Ovis aries: one gene and its partners. The protein of the gene in region 1 interacts with the protein of each later gene in a pairwise test. Links are inferred from orthologs where the notes say so. Each region holds a gene or a part of one and is shown in the gene's direction. Other genes may lie near its edges.

Region 1 (2,395 bases):
ATTCTAGCCTCCTGACCATAAGTGTGTGCCTTTATTTCTGGACTCTTACTCTGTTTCATTGATTGATGTGTCTGTTTTTGTGCCTGTACCGTACTGTTTTGATTACTATAGCTTTGTAATATAGTCTGAAGCCAGGGAATGTGATTCCTCCAGCTCTTGGTTCTTTCTGTCAAGATTGTTTTGGCTATTCAAGGTTGTTTTTGTTTCTATACAAATTTTAAAATTGTTCTAATTCTGCAGGAAGTGCCATTGGTATTTTGATATGGATTGCATTGAATCTTTAGATTACCTTGGGTGGTGTAGTCATTTTAACAGTATTGGTACTTCCAGTCCAAGAACACAGCAAAGCTTTCCATCTGTTTGTATTGTAGAAGCAGGAGTTTTTAAAAAGTCAATTTAAAGAGAAGGAGGTATATCTTAAAAAGCTAATTGCTCAAAATAGGGATTGGATTAGGGGCATGATTTGCTGGACAACAGGAAGTCAGTTTGATCCCCGTTTCCTGATGGCTCAGTGGTAAAGAATCAGCCTGCAGTTCAGGAGAGGTGTGTTTGATCCCTGGGTCGGGAGATCCCCTGGAGAAGGAAATGGCAACCCACATCAGTATTCTTGCCTGGGAAATCCCATGGATAGAGGAGCCTGGTGGGTTTACAGTCCTTGGGGTTGCAAAAGAGTCAGACATAACTTGGCAACTAAACCACCACCACCATTAACTCTAGTTCTCGGTTCTCTGTTTTACCTGATGATTTAGAAGTAGTTTTGAATTTCATTAGCAACTGCCTTCCATAACACAACACATTAATCCTTTACATGTTCTGTCCTTTGAATCTAAAGCTGGTTCTTTGAATAATAATTTACTTCAGACTTGAATTAGCACCTTTGTTGATCAGTTTTTCCTTGAGCTTAACATTTCTGATGTTTTGATGACATCATGTCTTTAAGAATTGCTAGAAATTAGGGCTTTCCTAAGGGCATTAAAGGAAAGGCACATAGTTTACCCCCAAAAAGTTGCCGACTTTTATTACCCATTTGCTTCTTCAGCTCCAAACAATATTTGAAAATGGAGTTTTCTGTTTCTATTGGAGTTCCATTGTAGACATTTCTGGTATGATGTGCCTGCATTTTTTGAATAACACTGTATTTTAAAGTCTAGTTTGCACATTTGTTCTTCTAGAGAGAGACGACGACGAAGAAGCAGAAGTGGTACAAGATCTCCTAAAAAGCCTAGGTCTCCCAAAAGAAAATTGTCTCGTTCACCATCCCCTAGAAGGTAAGTATTAATCTTTTATTAGATCTATCCTGTTTTTCAGAAACTGTCCTAGGATTTTTCTTCCTTCTCAGGAATTAAAATACTTAAGAATGTGCTGATACATTCTCTTCATGACTTGAGATTGTTAAAATAAACACTGTTTATGATTAGGCATTTTAGACCTGTAATCTCCTTATAGCAGTGAACTTAACATCAAGCTTACCATCTAAAACAAATTTAAACTTATTGCTGTTTAAATAATGGCAAAAATTCTTGAGCACTTTGTTTCAAGCATCTTGTGAGCATTTTACTGTCATCCTAGACATAAAAAGGAGAAGAAGAAAGATAAAGACAAAGAAAGAAGCAGAGATGAAAGAGAGCGATCCACAAGCAAGAAGAAGAAAAGTAAAGATAAGGAAAAGGAACGGGAAAGAAAATCAGAGAGTGATAAAGATGTAAAAGTATGTTTACAAACTAATATATTCTGGTGTTTTAGTTGATGTTGGTACTTTAAAGAAGTAATTTTTCTGTGAAGACGTTTACTTTTCTTATTCTCCTTGGCAAAGCAGGTTACACGGGACTACGATGAAGAGGAACAGGGGTATGACAGCGAGAAGGAGAAAAAGGAGGAGAAGAAACCAGCAGAACCAGGTTCTCCTAAAACAAAAGAATGTTCTGTGGAAAAGGGAACTGGTGATTCACTAAGAGAATCTAAAGTGAATGGGGATGATCATCATGAAGAAGACATGGATATGAGTGACTGAACCATGCCTCTGTGGGAATCTAACTGTGTACATGCATCAGTGTCATTCCTGTGTGATTTCTTAATGCTGTATTTGTTCATCTCAAACCTAGATGTATACAGCTCTGAGTCATAAATGGTTATAAAGCTCCTGATGTTGATATTAGTTATTTACATCCAAAAGCTTTTAGGAAAATGATACAGGGGTAACCAATTCGTGACAGGGTGAAATCTGATTGAGTAACCAAGCAGTTTTACTATCCTGGTGCTGCTTCATAACAAAAATGAAAAGCTGCATGCATCTACAGCAGGCATGGATTGTTTATGTTGTATGATCTCCTTTATTAAGTAAGTTCACTTATAGTATTTCTAGAATTTGATTCATTGCCGTAATAGAGCCATGTAG
Region 2 (3,519 bases), on another chromosome or scaffold:
ATCACTCTATACAAAACAGATAATCAATAAAGATCTACTGTATAGCACAGGGAACTGTACTCAATATTCTATAATAACCTATATGGGAAAACACCCTGAAACAGAATGGATACATATAACTGAATCTCTTAGCTGTATACCTAAAACAACGTTATAAATCAGCTGTGGTGGTGTTTGGTCACTAAGTTGTGTCTGTCTCTTTGCGATCCCATGGACTGTATGTAGCCTGCCAGGCTCCTCTGCCTGTGGGATTCTTCAGGCAGGAATACTGGAGTGGATTGCCATTTCCTCCTCCAGGGGATCTTCCCAGCCCAGCAATCGAACTCACGTCTCCTGGACTGGCAGGCAGATTCTTTACTGCTGAGCCACCAGGGAAACTAAATCAACTATACTCCAATATAAAAGAAGAAACACAGGATACTAAAACCTAGTTTAGTATAGGTCAAAGGAATACCTGTCACTAAACAGCCACTGTTCTGTAGACTCCCAGAGATCTCTATTGTATACAAACCAGTATTCAATGACCGTGGGTCAGAGGGCTGTCATTTGGGGCAACAGCTCTGCTTTCCCTGGTGGGGTGGGAGCGGGGGCTCTTCCACTGTGTGTGCTGGCATGTACACACACCTGCTTGTTTGCGTTGTTTTATCTTCTGCAGAAGATTCAGAATAACGAAAATAACCTGTACTGTCCTAAAACATTAGGCCAATGCATGGGACTCCTCTCTACTGGAAGCTTTTTTACACATTAATGACCAGAGATGTAGTAACACCACAAGCGTTCCTTTGTGCAAAGTAACTTCTGTCAGTGTTCTGTTAAGTGCTTCTCATTGAGCTAAGAAACCAGAGCACATGAGCAGCTCTGTTCTGGCATGTTGTATGTTGCTCCCCATCCATAATGGAGGCACGGACCATGGTGTGGAGTTACAACAAAGATGAACAGGCTATAAAAAACCCTCACACTAATTTTTCTTGGTCTCTGTGTTGACAGTGCCCTTCATAGCTGCCATGACATAGTCTTGCGAAGAAGCTACTTGGGAAGCTGGGGCTTTAGTATCGTCGGTGGATACGAAGAGAACCATACCAATCAGCCTTTTTTCATAAAAACTATCGTCCTGGGGACCCCTGCTTATTACGACGGAAGATTAAAGTGAGTCTTATTGTGTTTAATGATGTGATTTGCATTTACTGTGATGGACACAAGGTCAGCTCCCAAGTCCAGCCTGTTGTCCATCCTTGTAAATAAAGTTTTATTGGAACATACCCATGCTCCCTTGTTTACCTATCTCCCCGGGCTGCTTCTGAGATGTGATGGCAGAGCCAAGTGGCCAGTCCCGAGACCAGTGACTCACAGAGCCCAGGCCCTCTGTCTACCTACCATTTGGCCCTTTACAGAGACAGATCTGCCAGGCCTGATCCAGACTGAAGCATCTTGGTACCACAGGTCAGTGCCTCTTGTGAGATTAACAGTAACGCAGAGTCATGTGGACACATCATGACCCAAAGCTTGCCCTGAGCACCTGAGTCCAGTCCTGTCAGTAGGTGACTTTTCTCTACAGCACTTATGTCAACGTAATGCTCAATTCACGCAAGTCCACATGGGAGGGATTTTGTTGCATTTTGTGTTAGATCCCTGGCAGGCAGCGTGGGGCCTTGCATTCGTAGTAAAGGTTTCATCAGTATTGATGGATGATGTGCGTGCCAGGCGTGGTGCTAGGTGCTGGCTATGGGTTACTGCACCTTCTTAGCAGCCTGCGAGGTAGGTGCTGCTGGTGTTCCTATTTTATAAGCAAGACACTGAGGATTCAGGTTAAAAAACTGCCTATAGTCAAATAGCTGGAAGTCGTTGACAGCAGTTAATCTAGGAGTCTTGGCCATTCAGCCCCTGCTGTTGTCACCACTGGGCAAAAAGTACCCTCTCAGCCTCTGTGCCACCTTTCTCAGAGCTCAGGCACCATGAGAAGAAAGAGGCATTCCATCAAGAGATTATACAGACAGAGGAGACGGGTGACTGTAAGTTCTTAGGACCTAGTTTTGGATGCAAGAAACAGTTCTTAAAAAGTAGATGCTGACATCCTAGTCAGAGTGCTGCACAAATCAGGGCATTTACATTTTGCAAACACAGAGCAACAGCTCGGGAATATCGAGGAAAATCCATCAGGGTCAGTGTGCTCCAGATCCCACTGTCACCTGGTAGAGATGAAAAAATCACTTCAGGAGCAAAGAGTGGGAGGCTGGGATGAAATAACCATTCTCTTAGCCAACTGTTCAGCCAGTCTGGGTCTCGTGTAAATTATAGACTAATTAACTTCCACTTCCTAAAAGAAGTTGAACTAGATCACAAGAAAGTAACATATTCATATTCAAAATAAAGACTAAAAATTATAAAAGATAGAAAGGTCTTCAGATTCACCATCCATTTGTGATAATTAAGCTGAAGGACAGTGAGCATCCTTGGCTGAAAGAGGTGTGGGTCTCATTTAGTTGAAGCCTCGAATGGACTGTAAAAAATCAACCATGAAAATAGCAGCCCCCTCCAAATTTATCATGTGGTATTTTTAAAGGAGGCAGCAGATTTATTCTGTTAACTATACATTGCTTAAGCTTCTCTGAAAATTACTCTGCTTTCCTTTGAAATCATCCACCAGTTACAGGAGAGGCTGGCACGGGGGTGTCCCCGGTTGACAAGGGAAAGCCAACATAGGCTTAAAAAATCACCCAGATATTTCTCAAAGAAAGTCACATAGCCTGATCATCAACAGTTAATGGGTAAGTGTACCAAACAAATCTCAGGACAACATTTCTGATACCGTGAAAACGGTGACTGTTTCTGTCTCTCGTTGTCCAGATGTGGAGACATGATCGTGGCTGTGAACGGCCTGTCGACCGTGGGCATGAGCCACTCGGCGCTGGTCCCCATGCTGAAGGAGCAGAGAAACAAAGTCACGCTGACCGTCATCTGTTGGCCTGGCAGCCTCGTGTAGATTTTGAATTTGATGTTAAGTCGAACAGCTTCCCTATTTTTTTAGGTCTTGGGAAGAAACCCCTTTGGTTTTGTCAAGTTTCTGTTAGGGCCTGCTGACGCAGCTGGGACACACAGGGCCAAACCCACCAGGCTTGTCCTTTTGTTATTAATATTTAAATGCCTCCTCCCCCTCAGTTTGTCACATTTCTCTCAGCTCAGAACGCGTCTTCCCCTAACCCTCGTGGGGTCACATTTTCAGAATCCAGGTTCTCAGTTGTCAGAATGTGAGCTGTAATAAAGAATGAAGTCTGCCCAAACTGTGAGCCAGCAGGCTGCATCAGGCGGCTTACAGTAGCTCTGTTTTAAGTAACTGAGTCATAAAATGAGTTCCATGTGCCCGAGACGGGCCAAGTGGGCTGTCACTTGGGTGGCCAGTGCCGTGAGTGGCCGCCTGCTCAGTGTGGAGAAGCTGCTCCCCATTTTCATCTGTGCCAACATTTCAAACAATACTGTTTAAAAGGTCATTTTTCTGGCTTATTTTGTATCTACTTTCATCTC
Region 3 (3,519 bases), on another chromosome or scaffold:
TTATACCTCTCACCTAGATGTTACACTTGGCTCTTCTTCCAGTAACTCCTCTAGTAACTTGTTATATCAATGAATGCTGAGCTACTGCTAACTTTATCATTCTGAAATTCAGGTCTGTTACCTTTTTTTTGCTCATAATCTTTTTAAGTTTAAAGCTTCTTACAGTTTGACCCCAAATTCTTGGCTTAAATATAGTGTGTCTCAGTCTTTTGTTAAGATTGTTGCTATAAGACTGTAATACCTTACAGTACTTGTCATAGGTAAATGCATAACTTCATGAAGACAGCCTTTATGTCTCTGTTGCTGCCATAACTCCCATGCTTAGTACAGTACCTGGCTTTCAATTTATTCACCAAATATTTATTGAAAACTTGCTTACATCAGTCAGGGTCCAGGTGGAACAACAGAAATCACACAAGAATTTTAACAGAGATAACAAGAAATCAGAGAGGTTGAAGAATTGAAAAAAGCAAAAGCGGAACCCAGAAAGCTGCTTCTCCTAGAACTGGGGCATACGGGATGGGGGTTACAGTTCGCAGAGCCAACAGTGTTGGTGGAGGAGCCCCGTGAGCTGGGCCTCAGGGGAGGGCCCCCTGTGATGGATGCTGGTACCTCTGGGGGCTGCAGGGAGGCTGTGCTGCCAGTGTCTGGAATCTGGAGACTGGAGTCACCTGCTGCCAGCAGCATGAAGGGCTGGCCCCAGGCAGTACTGGCAGGAGCAGGAAGCAGACAGGAAGGGGCAGGCCCTGGCACGTCCTCCTCGCGAGGGGTCCTGACCAGAAAGCCATGGCAGAAGAGGGCTCACCACAGAGGGTGGGCTTGGAAGGCACGGACAGTCTGTGACGCTTGCTGGCCTCTCTTCTCTTCAGTGTGCCCACAGGCTTCTTTCTTCATATTTCTTCACATTTGTTGACGCGCAACAAATATTTTCTGGTAAGGGAACCATAGTAAGTACGTTCAGCTTTACTAGCCAGTATATACAGAGACCTTGAGAGGCTTCCGGGCAGAAATGAGCTTGAGAGGCCTGAGAGACAGGACCTCGGTGAGGGCAGATGAGACAGAATGTGGCTGCAGATGCACTGGGGGGTGACATTGGAAGGGCTGTCAGGCCAGGTAGTCTGTGGCCTTGTGGACAGGGTAAGGGGTTGGGGGTCTGAGTTGTGGGATTAACAAAAGGGTTTCAGTGCTTGCTGTGTGGAGGGCAAATAGAAGGGCAAGAGTAGATGGTGGTCATAGTAGCCTTAGCAGGAGGGAGCAGTGGTCATGTGTTGGTCATATGGATCATGGTAAGAACACCGAGTAAGCACTTAACTGTACTTGCTGGAAAGAAATTCTTTTCCAAAAGTTATACTCCAAAGCTCCTCCCTTTTGTCCTATGTTTCAGCTAAACTAAATTCATTTGCTTAATTTTTTCTATCCCATTGCCTGATTTTTATGCTTTTATAGCTGTAATCATTGAATTTTTGTAATTCTTCAAAAGTTGTATTTTCTGGTATTGTGCTTGATTAGTGGTATGGCTCTTTGTGTGTGTGTGATGTCCTGGTGACTGTGATTCTGAACGGAGACATTGGCAGCCTGTGTGTGTGCGGCTGAGGTTTCTCTCCCCCATCATGGCTGTTCTGAGCATCACGGTGTCAGACCAGAGCTTTTCATGACAGGTTCCGGTTAAGACGCTTTGGTAACAAATATGCTCTTCCCTCATTTTCTTTGGTAGAGGAAAGGGTCCACTTAAAACACTAAACTCATTTTGGTCAAGAAAAAAAAATTAGGAATGTGAGGCCTGGTACCTAACGGAGTCCCTAGTACAGCTATTCTCCATACAGTTGGTTAATCCACAGATGTTTACCAAAGGGATGAAAAATAACATTTGTCTTGTGTGTGTCAGCACTTGACTAGTAGGTGCTTTTAGTCCTTGTAGTGGAGCTGTGAGGTAAGAAGTTTGCCTCTGTAATAAAAACTCTGAAAGGGTAAGTACATTGTTGAAGGCCATATAAAAGAACCCTCAGGAAGATGCTGTGTGAGTTTAAAAGTAAAGTACAGCCTTTATAAAGTTCAAGGATAATATATTTGAGTTGAAAACAAGCCAGGGTACACATAAAACAAATGCCAGTGAATTCATCGGGCAACAGAGTCATTGAGTCTGCTGGAGATGGTGTCTGGGGGGGTAAATTACCTGCAGAATTAGTTTTAAAAAACAAAATAGGGTCATTTTTGCAAAACTCATATCTGAAGGAAATAATCGGCAGATTACATTTTAGGAAACCACAACAGAATATGTTCAATTTTGGATTTTCTCAGGGCGCGTGTTTGCGAATACTGACGTGTTGCATGTGTCTTTGGCAGCAGTTGGTGGCACGGCCTTCCAGCATGGACCACATGGTGGCCCCTGTCACTGGTGGCGACACTGGGATCCGCAGAGCAGAGATCAAGCAAGGGATCCGAGAAGTCATCTTGTGTAAGGATCAAGACGGGAAGATTGGGCTCCGGCTGAAATCCATAGACAATGTAAGTGCTTTCAGTACACTTGTCTGATTAGCTGTTATGTGACCCAGTTACAATTTAAAATGTAAATGCTTTAATGAAGTGTAATGGTGCTCTCTGATCAAGACTACTTTTAATCTGCTTTTCCACGTGAGATGCTACCCTGTTCTGAAGAGGCAGAGCTGGGACTTGAGCATTACCATGGATGAATTTTTTCTGAGTCCTTTTTCTGGAATAAAGTTCACTAGTCTGCGTGTATTATAACATAGTTCATACAAGGAGAATGCTGGCATTGAAATAGGGTAACGTGTGGAAGTTAAGACTGATAGGTGAGGGTCAGTGGTCTTGTGTATTTTTAAACTTAAAGACGATCATGTGACTTGTAATGTGGTTTGGGGTTTGTTATTTCCATCCTTGAATTTGACTTTCATGGGGCATTTTCCAGGCAACAGTGACTTTCTAAAGTACATTACTTCACCTCTCACCTTACCAGATGGAAGAAATGAAACCTGGTTACTCTGTGGGGAAGCACTTAGGATCACTAAGGAGGTGCTGAGTCTTTACCCTGATTTGTGGGTTTCCAGGTTATTTATTGGGCTTCTTTTCAGTCTTCGGTCTCATAGCTCAGCGCATCCAGCCTTTGCATGTAGAAGATGTGGCGCCTGGCGGAAGATGTTTGAGGCCAGTCCGGGCCCTACCTGCCTCCCCAGAGGCTGAGGGCATTGTGTCTTTGCACACTTGTGGCTTGTGTGAGACCCTCATTGAGTGTGCTGCTCTGGGAAGCTCGCACTTCCCTGCCCTCTCTACATCCTAGAGAGAGACCACACTCTCCGCAGCTCCACCCCTGCAGCAGTTATCCTTGCAGTGGTTTGTCCAGTGGCCGAAGCTTGTAGGTGTAGCCACTCTGCTGGGTGCCGTCCTCAAGTACAGGATACGCAGCACCAAATCTGAGTACAGGCTACGCAGCACCAAATCTGGGGCAGCTCAGGACGGAGAAGGGGTGCGACCTGTGGTTGCTTTCATCTCTTACTGGCACAT
Region 4 (3,953 bases), about 28 Mb from region 1:
GATGATCTGAAGAAACACCAGGAAACTACAGACACAGAAACCAGGGAAAGTCTAAACATCCTGGCCTGAGGAAGCGTAGACCTGGGAGCTGCCGTGGGTTTGGTCAGTCCTGGGAACTCTAAAGCAGCGGTATCACAATGTGCTACGCCTACTCGTAGTGTTCGGTTATTCTCTTTCTCTGTTCTAATTTTCCTCACCACCTGACTCCAGCTTATTTATTTTGTACAGCCAGAACCATCTGCCAAACCCATCGCTTACTTGGCTCTCAGGATTTCCTTGTTTGAACTCTCCAAGAGGGAATCTAATTGGCCAGATCAGCTTTACAAACTGGACAAGGGTCTCGGGCCCGTCTATGGATTGGCTGCGCTTGATCAGATGTCTTTCCGTGGCCCAATCAGCTGGGGCTGAGGGAGACAGGCCGCCCACAGCAGCTCCGCGCTGAGTCCAGTGGTGGGGGCAGTTTGCCTTACAAGGGACTTTGAACTTTGTACCTACAAGAGGAACCTGAGAAAACGATTCAGAGATGGAACCAAAAGGTGCATTAAAGAGCTTTTATAGCACACGTGCGCGCGCGCGCGCGCGCGCACACACACACACACACACACACACACACACACACACACACACACTTTGAAACCCCTGTAAGCATGATCAATTCTAGGCTGTTGAGGTGCGGAACGAGCAGCTAATTCAAGATTTTCTCTGGGAAAACGAAATAATATGCCATAAGACCTCATATACACTGTGATCAGGGTTTTCTAGGACAAGACTGTACGTGTTGAGTTTTTGCCCTGTACAGGAAAGTTAACGGCTGAGTGGTGCGGCACATGGCTATCAAAAGTTCTTTAATGAACAGATATTCTGGTTATAATGAAGGTAAACACCAAGCGTTTGTTAGCATCCACGTTCCTTCACCCTAACTGGGCCCGCGCCCCCTCCCCATGCCTTCCTCTCCCGTCCGGAAAAGTGCACTTTTCTGGCAGGTTCGCGGCCCTTACCACCCACGGGTCTGCCAGCGGGAGAGGGCCGGCACCCAGCTCGCGGCGCCAGTGCGCCCCCGCGCGGCCGGGCCGGGTTCCTCCACCACTTCCGGGTCCTCCACGCCCCGCCCCGCCCCGCCCCGCCCCGCCCCGCAAGTGCGGCCCTCCAGTCTCTTCCCCGGCCCTGCAGGCAGCGCGGGCCCTCGAGTCCCCGCTCGACCCTGCCCGCCATTGCAGCCTTCTAGCTGCGGGGACTCCTCCCCGCGCGCGCTCTCGAGTAGCCATGGCTCCGCTCCGCTTCTCGGCCAACCTGTCGTGGCTGTTCCCGGAGCTGTCGGGCTTTCCCGCGCGGCTCCGGGCCGCGGGCAGTTCGGGCTTCGAAGCAGCCGAGATCGGCTGGCCGTATGCGGAGCCGCCGGAGGCGCTGGCGCGCGCAGCGCGGGAAGCCGGGCTACGGGTGGTGCTAATCAACACGCCCCCAGGTGCGCAGGGAGGGCCCAGGCCGGGACAGGGTGGGGCAGTGGGGAAGGAGCAGGGAGCTGAGGCCCATTCTTTCCGCAGGAGACAGAGAGAAGGGGGAGAATGGGCTGGGGGCTGTTCCCGGGAGGCAGGCGGCCTTCCGAGAAGGGCTGGAGCAGGCGGTGCTGTACGCTAAGGCTCTGGGCTGTTCCAGGTAACCTCCCCTCTCCATTCCCCCGCCCCCATAATCCGCGAGAGAAGAGGCTCAGGGGTACTCCCGTCTCTGCCTCTTTAGTCCTGGTCCCTTGTAAATTGCCTTTTTGCATTTCATCTGTGTGTACGTCACTCTCAGTTTGCAACTCTTTCTTGCTCACCTCATGCTGAGAACTCAGTATGACCTGGGACATAACCCAGTCAGTTCAAGGAGACTCTGGGAGCAGAGAAAGCTTCATAACAGGTAGTGATGTTGAACTGGGTCTCCGGGGTGGGTGCTTGCTTGACCAAAGGAGCATTCCAGGCAGCGGTGCAGTAGCCACACGCCCCCGGGGCTTGGTGTATTCTGCAGAGATTATGAGGCTGGAGGTGAAGTCTGTCTGCTTTGGAGGTGACTGAGAAAGATGAGGTGGCGAAGGGAGAAGGTGGGGGACTCAGAGTGGGGCTGATAAGGTGAATGTCAAATCCTGCACAGGGCAACCAGACTGCGAAGGAACTGGCAACAAGCAGTTATGGGGCAGAGGGAGGAGTGTGTGTGCAGAAAACAGATGGGAAGCAGCTAAGAAACAGATGCAAGGAGGAGAGACAAGCAGCGTGGAATACCTGAGCATAAGGGTCAAAGTAATTTTTTAAAGGTGAGGCTTGAGGAGAAGGGCCATGGAAAAGGAGAATCTGGATGTACAGGAGGGGCTGCGTGAGGGCCTGTGGTCTCTGAAGCAGGAGGATGGTGGGCCTTCAGAAGGAATCTGGGAAAAGCCTCGGTCTTAGGTTGACACAAGTGTCTGAGGGCGCCGGGAGGCCTGAGCACCACAGCCAGGTGGTCTCACTGGGGACCTGGGGAGACGGGAGGCTGGTGCAGTCGGAGGGCAGCTGGAAGAGAAGTACCCAGCGAGCATGGGTGTGAAGGCTTCTTTGGTGAGGATGGACTCCACAGCCCCCCTCCAGCCCCATTTTCCCCACAGGATTCACCTGATGGCTGGCCGAGTGCCCAAGGGGGCTGACAGAACCGCGGTCAGGGGTGAAATGGAGGTAGTTTTCCTGGAGAACCTCAGGCACGCAGCTGAGGTTTTGGCTCAGGTGAGACAGTGAAAGGGGCTTCTCAGATGGCACAGTGGTAAAGAATCCGCCTCCCAATGCAGGAGATGCGGGTTTGATCCCTGGGTCAGGAACGTCCTCTGGAGGAGGAAATGGCAACCCACTCCAGTATTCTTGCCCAGGTAATCCCATGGACAGAGGAGCATGGGGTCGCATAGAGTTGGACATGGCTGAGCACCCACATGAGACAGTGAAAACACATACAGACACACATACTTCATGTATGTATGTGGAGGGGAAGCACAGTAGGGAGCGCAGTGAGGCACAAGGCTGGGCCCTGGCCGAGGCCAGAAGGGCTGGGGATCGGCTTGAGCAGTGACTGACTGAGGGGGTCGAACTTGGGGAGAGCTCTACTCATAGATCTGGCCTGGTGCTAGGAGAACCTCGTGGGACTGCTGGAGCCCATAAACACCCGCATCACGGACCCCCGGTATTTCCTGGACACGCCCCAGCAGGGTAGGCCCCCAACCCCCGGCCGCCTCCTGTCCATTGATTCTCCAGCCCTCCTTGAGTCTCACGACCCCTCTCCCTGGTTTCTCTCCCAGCGGCAGCCATCTTACAGAAGGTGGGAAGACCCAACCTCCAGCTACAGATGGTAAGTGGGGGAGAGGGTGTGCTTCTCAGAGGGCCGTGTTCTCCAAATCCAGGGACAGTGGTGTGGGCTGCAGGGTCTCTGACTGGGGCATCTCTGCCCTAGGACTTATTCCACTGGCAGATCATGGACGGGAACCTGACAGGGAACGTGCGAGAGTTCCTGCCCATTGTTGGTGAGGGCCCCTTTCTCGGCTTCTTCCTGGCCTGCCATGAGGCTTCCCCTGTCCTTCCACTCTCTCTACCCCCAACATCTACCCCCAGGGCACGTGCAGGTGGCACAGGTCCCCGGTCGGGGGGAACCCGACAGCCCCGGAGAGCTCAACTTCTCATATCTGTTCCAACTGCTGGAAGATGAAGGCTACACAGGCTTCGTGGGCTGCGAGTACCAGCCTCGAGGTGAGGGTGGGCTGAGCCTGGCCCCAGGGAAGGGCCTCTGGAGGGACACTGTCGACAGGGGCTGTCTTCCTCCTCATGGCCTGAGAGGCCGCGCGCCCGCTCCCCTCAGGAGACACAGCAGAGGGCCTGAGTTGGCTGCGTTCATACTGGGAGATGAGGGGCCGCCCGCAGGCTGGCCAGTGAGGTCCTGCGCTCCAGCCACATGCCTCTGGGACG
Region 5 (3,519 bases), on another chromosome or scaffold:
CTAGTGGGTAAGGGGAAGACCAGTATTTTGGAGAGGAATCTTGGCTGTGCCACTTTCCGGGTGAGCTGGGAAAGTCTCTTCACCTCCCAGAATCTTTTTTTCACCCATAAACTGCTGGAGGAAATAACTCCTAGAAGTGTCAAAAGGATAAAATGAAAAGGGGCAAAGAGATATGAGTGCAATTTACACACTTAAATGCAGAGCACTAAGCCCACTGTGTGCCACTGTGATGGACTGGATGGTCAGACTTGGTAGGTAAAGATTTCTGCAACAGGTAAAGCCTCAGATGAGAAAAGCCCCAGAAGAGAATCCTCAGGCCTTGACATGGAGAAAATGGCCGAATGCTGCCCTAAAAGCGGCGTTTGAAAATTGGTGGGTCTTCCTCCTGGTCCTCCAAGGGTCAGCTCCTCAGTCCAGAGACCCACAAGGAAAGGAGAACCCTGGCTGCCCATGCCTCTTCACTAGAGATGACCTGAAGGAGAAAAAAGAGCTTGTGCCCCAGACGGTAAGGCAAGGTAATGGTGTCATGTCTCAGACGTCTCACTGAACAGCCTGCCTTGGCCTGAGACATGCGGTGGGAGTCCTACACTCTCTGCCTTGACTTTCAGAGGTATCCTTGGAGTGGACTTGGAGGAAGTCTAAGAAAAAGGGAGTGGTGTTTCCAAAGGCTCTCTGGGTTCTGTACTCAACCCCAAATAACCCACCTGAGTGAATCCATTCGGTGTTTTCCAGGCTTCCATCACCCACCACTTTTGCCTTGTCTGATTAAGTGTACTGCTTACTTAAATTTCTTTGAATAGATACGCCTTTTTTTTTTTAGGTCCATACATTTATTTCAAAACGAAACTTGATACACTACAATAAATAGAAAAATCAAGCTCTTTTGCCATAGATAGAAGGTTCTAGTAAAAATAAAAATAGCAAAACAAAACTGTGATTAAAGTTGAGATGTAGATTCTGGGGCCAGCTGGATGCTCTCTCTGAGCCCAGCCTTGAAATGTTAAAAAAGCGAGATTATCACTGTTCAAAGCATATCAGCACTAGACTGAGACCACCTCCTTGATGTTCTCAGGACTGCAAGAGAAGAGTAACAGGAATTTTTTTCCCCCTAAGGAGCTGGGACATGTCTCCTAGGACAATGCCTGTGCTCCCGGGATTGCAGCTGGGAGGAGTCCTGCCGTGACACTTTCCCCCTCTGATCTCTGCAGTGCCCGGAAACGCCCCATCCCGTACTACCGGCCCAGCCCCTCTTCTTCCAGCGGCCTCAGCAGCACCTCCTCCTGGTACAGCAGCAGCAGCAGCCGCTCAGCCAGCCGAAGCTACTCCCGGAGCCGCAGCCGCAGCCGCAGCCGGAGCAGGACCCTCACTAGCAGCAGCTGCAGCTCCCGCAGCCCCAGCCTGGGCTCCCGGAGCCGGAGCCGGAGCCGGAGTCGAAGTCGGAGTGGGAGCTACAGCTCAGCAGACAGCTACTCCAGCACAAGGCGCTAAGCCAGGGCCCTCCCGTGAGCCCACTGCCTGTGGAGCCCCTTTCACTCTGGCAGCCTCCCCCACTCCCCGACCACCCTGCCTTCTCCTTGGTGACAGACAGCACTGAGGGCTCCCAGGCCCTGTCCTTCCTGCTCTCCTGGGGAAGAGGAAAGGAGGGTGTGGGGGCTTCAGTCTCCATGTGGAGCTACTGGGAGCCTCCACCACACCTGCTGGGGCTCAGCTCAGGCCTGAGCATGTGGAGAAGACTACCTTCTTTTGGCACAGAAAAGCCTCAATGGTTTATAAGGAGCGGTGAGTCCATGACTCAGAAGTTTGGGTCTGGCCAGGAAAATGTGGAGAGAGTTCTGCTAACCCACTGCTGCCAGGCTGCACACCGAAGACCAGCGGTATTTATCACATCTGCCCTCATTCTCCTCTCACCCAATCTCGTGGCTACATGTATATGGACCCCCGTGGATCCCATGGGGTGAGGGGTGGATATTAGAAGAGAGCAGGGTGATTCAGGTCCAGGAGAGGGGATCAGGAGTTTTAGCTCCCCACATAGGCCAGAGCAAGTGCTGAAAGGCTATTGGGTCCTAGAAAGGGGGACACGTGACTAGGGGACATGGACATTTCACTTGGTAGTAGGTGTCAGGAGCTAGGAGATGAACTCTCTGTCATGAGTCTAGAAGCAAGAACGAGGGTGGATAAGCCCACTGCTCCCAGTATCTCCTTGTGGTCGGGAAGAGGGGCCCAGTAGTTTCTAGCCATGGAGAGGTCACCACGCCATTTACACAAAATGCCTCGTGGTGGCTCACAGGGACCCTGCGACCTCTGAGAAAGGACACAACGGACAGTCAGGACAGCTGGGTCTGCAACCCCACTTCCCAAGTTTGCCTCGGCCCCAGTAGCTGGCAACAGCTTAGTTCCACGGGACCATCTGCTGAACATTCCCCAGTGCTGTGGCCAGCTGCCAGTCCCCAGCGCCAGCCAGTCTGGCCTTACCCTCTAGTTGGCGCCTGCCTGCCCCCTCCCCACTGCCCAGAAAGGGCACCCTGGATCCTACCCAGTGCAGCCAAGCACCTTCTCACCCACCTACCACCCTCAGCCTGAGGCACCCATTTTGCCCCTCGGGAATTTTGCCAGGATGGGGCACAGCAGCCCAGGTTTGGGGAAAAGATCCAAATCCAGAGAGTCTGGGGGAAAGGAGGTTAGATGCTCCGAAGCTCCTGCTGGTTTCCAGAGCTCTTACCAGCTTGAGAGAAGCCCACCCTCGTTTCTGCCCTCACCCCACTTACCCCCAGCACCCCCCAGGGCTGGGCAGTGAAGGTAAGCTGATCTGCAGCACACAAATACCACCAGCTGCTTCACCCACAGAGGGCACTAAGAACAGGGGCATGAGGGAGAAGATCCTTAAAATAAACTCTGGGGCATCCCCCTCACCAGCTGACTGGCTTTCCGGAGCCTTGCGGTGAGGTTCCAGTTTGTGGTGGCAACAGCAGCAGGGCAGGGCGTGCAGGGAGAGGGTGAGAGGGACAGCGCCCAGCTTTGGAACCTGGGGCTCTGGGAAGCAGAGAACCAAATATTCTTTATCCCTTGTGCCCTGAGGAGGGGAAACATTTGGGGGAAAAAAAATCCTGTTTCTGAGAAGCAGTGACGTCCTCCCTCCAGCAGGAGAGGGGAGCCAGGCCCCGGGGCAGCAGCGGGGGACCGAGCCTCTCCATGGCACCCGCTGGCCCAGAACTGGGCCCCGCCCGCCAGGACCAACGGATGCCAGCGCGGTCACTGGAGGCCTGATGGCAGGTGCCTGGGGCAGGGGCAGGTGCCCTGGGAGGGCCTGTGCAGCAACTGTAAATAACCCTCTTCCCTGCCCAGGAGCCCGAACTGGACTCCAGTCTCCCTTCATGGAAACAAAGGCTTTCTGGAGCCACGGAACCTCCTTAGCAGGACAGCAGTGAAAGACTCAAGAGCCCCCGTCCAGACTGCCTTCATACACGCAATTCTGGGGGACCGTTTTTGCCTGGGGCTCCTAGCTAACCTCTTATTTATTTA

The links.
Region 2: the proteins of SRSF11 (region 1) and LNX2 interact in a two-hybrid assay, tested with the Homo sapiens proteins (3 studies listed by BioGRID and IntAct). The link is inferred for Ovis aries from reciprocal best matches to the Homo sapiens genes SRSF11 and LNX2.
Region 3: the proteins of SRSF11 (region 1) and SDCBP interact in binary tests that used the Homo sapiens proteins (3 or more experiments, as listed by UniProt). The two-hybrid records come from large-scale screens. The link is inferred for Ovis aries from reciprocal best matches to the Homo sapiens genes SRSF11 and SDCBP.
Region 4: the proteins of SRSF11 (region 1) and HYI interact in binary tests that used the Homo sapiens proteins (3 or more experiments, as listed by UniProt). The two-hybrid records come from large-scale screens. The link is inferred for Ovis aries from reciprocal best matches to the Homo sapiens genes SRSF11 and HYI.
Region 5: the proteins of SRSF11 (region 1) and SRRM4 interact in binary tests that used the Homo sapiens proteins (3 or more experiments, as listed by UniProt). The link is inferred for Ovis aries from reciprocal best matches to the Homo sapiens genes SRSF11 and SRRM4.

The regions. Positions count from the first base shown.
Region 1 is NC_056054.1:46,060,729-46,063,123, forward strand, and holds part of SRSF11 (serine/arginine-rich splicing factor 11), read left to right. Parts: intron 1-1,151; coding exon 1,152-1,268; intron 1,269-1,569; coding exon 1,570-1,708; intron 1,709-1,813; coding exon 1,814-2,011; 3' UTR 2,012-2,395. UniProt on the Homo sapiens protein: May function in pre-mRNA splicing.
Region 2 is NC_056063.1:32,686,251-32,689,769, forward strand, and holds part of LNX2 (ligand of Numb protein X 2), read left to right. Parts: intron 1-987; coding exon 988-1,146; intron 1,147-2,844; coding exon 2,845-2,980; 3' UTR 2,981-3,519.
Region 3 is NC_056062.1:37,743,205-37,746,723, forward strand, and holds part of SDCBP (syntenin-1), read left to right. Parts: intron 1-2,343; coding exon 2,344-2,505; intron 2,506-3,519. UniProt on the Homo sapiens protein: Multifunctional adapter protein involved in diverse array of functions including trafficking of transmembrane proteins, neuro and immunomodulation, exosome biogenesis, and tumorigenesis.
Region 4 is NC_056054.1:18,121,522-18,125,474, reverse strand, and holds the start of HYI (putative hydroxypyruvate isomerase), read left to right. Parts: upstream 1-1,148; 5' UTR 1,149-1,263; coding exon 1,264-1,462; intron 1,463-1,541; coding exon 1,542-1,653; intron 1,654-2,614; coding exon 2,615-2,729; intron 2,730-3,124; coding exon 3,125-3,203; intron 3,204-3,292; coding exon 3,293-3,342; intron 3,343-3,444; coding exon 3,445-3,514; intron 3,515-3,602; coding exon 3,603-3,953. UniProt on the Homo sapiens protein: Catalyzes the reversible isomerization between hydroxypyruvate and 2-hydroxy-3-oxopropanoate (also termed tartronate semialdehyde).
Region 5 is NC_056070.1:56,187,100-56,190,618, reverse strand, and holds part of SRRM4 (serine/arginine repetitive matrix protein 4), read left to right. Parts: intron 1-1,208; coding exon 1,209-1,488; 3' UTR 1,489-3,519. UniProt on the Homo sapiens protein: Splicing factor specifically required for neural cell differentiation.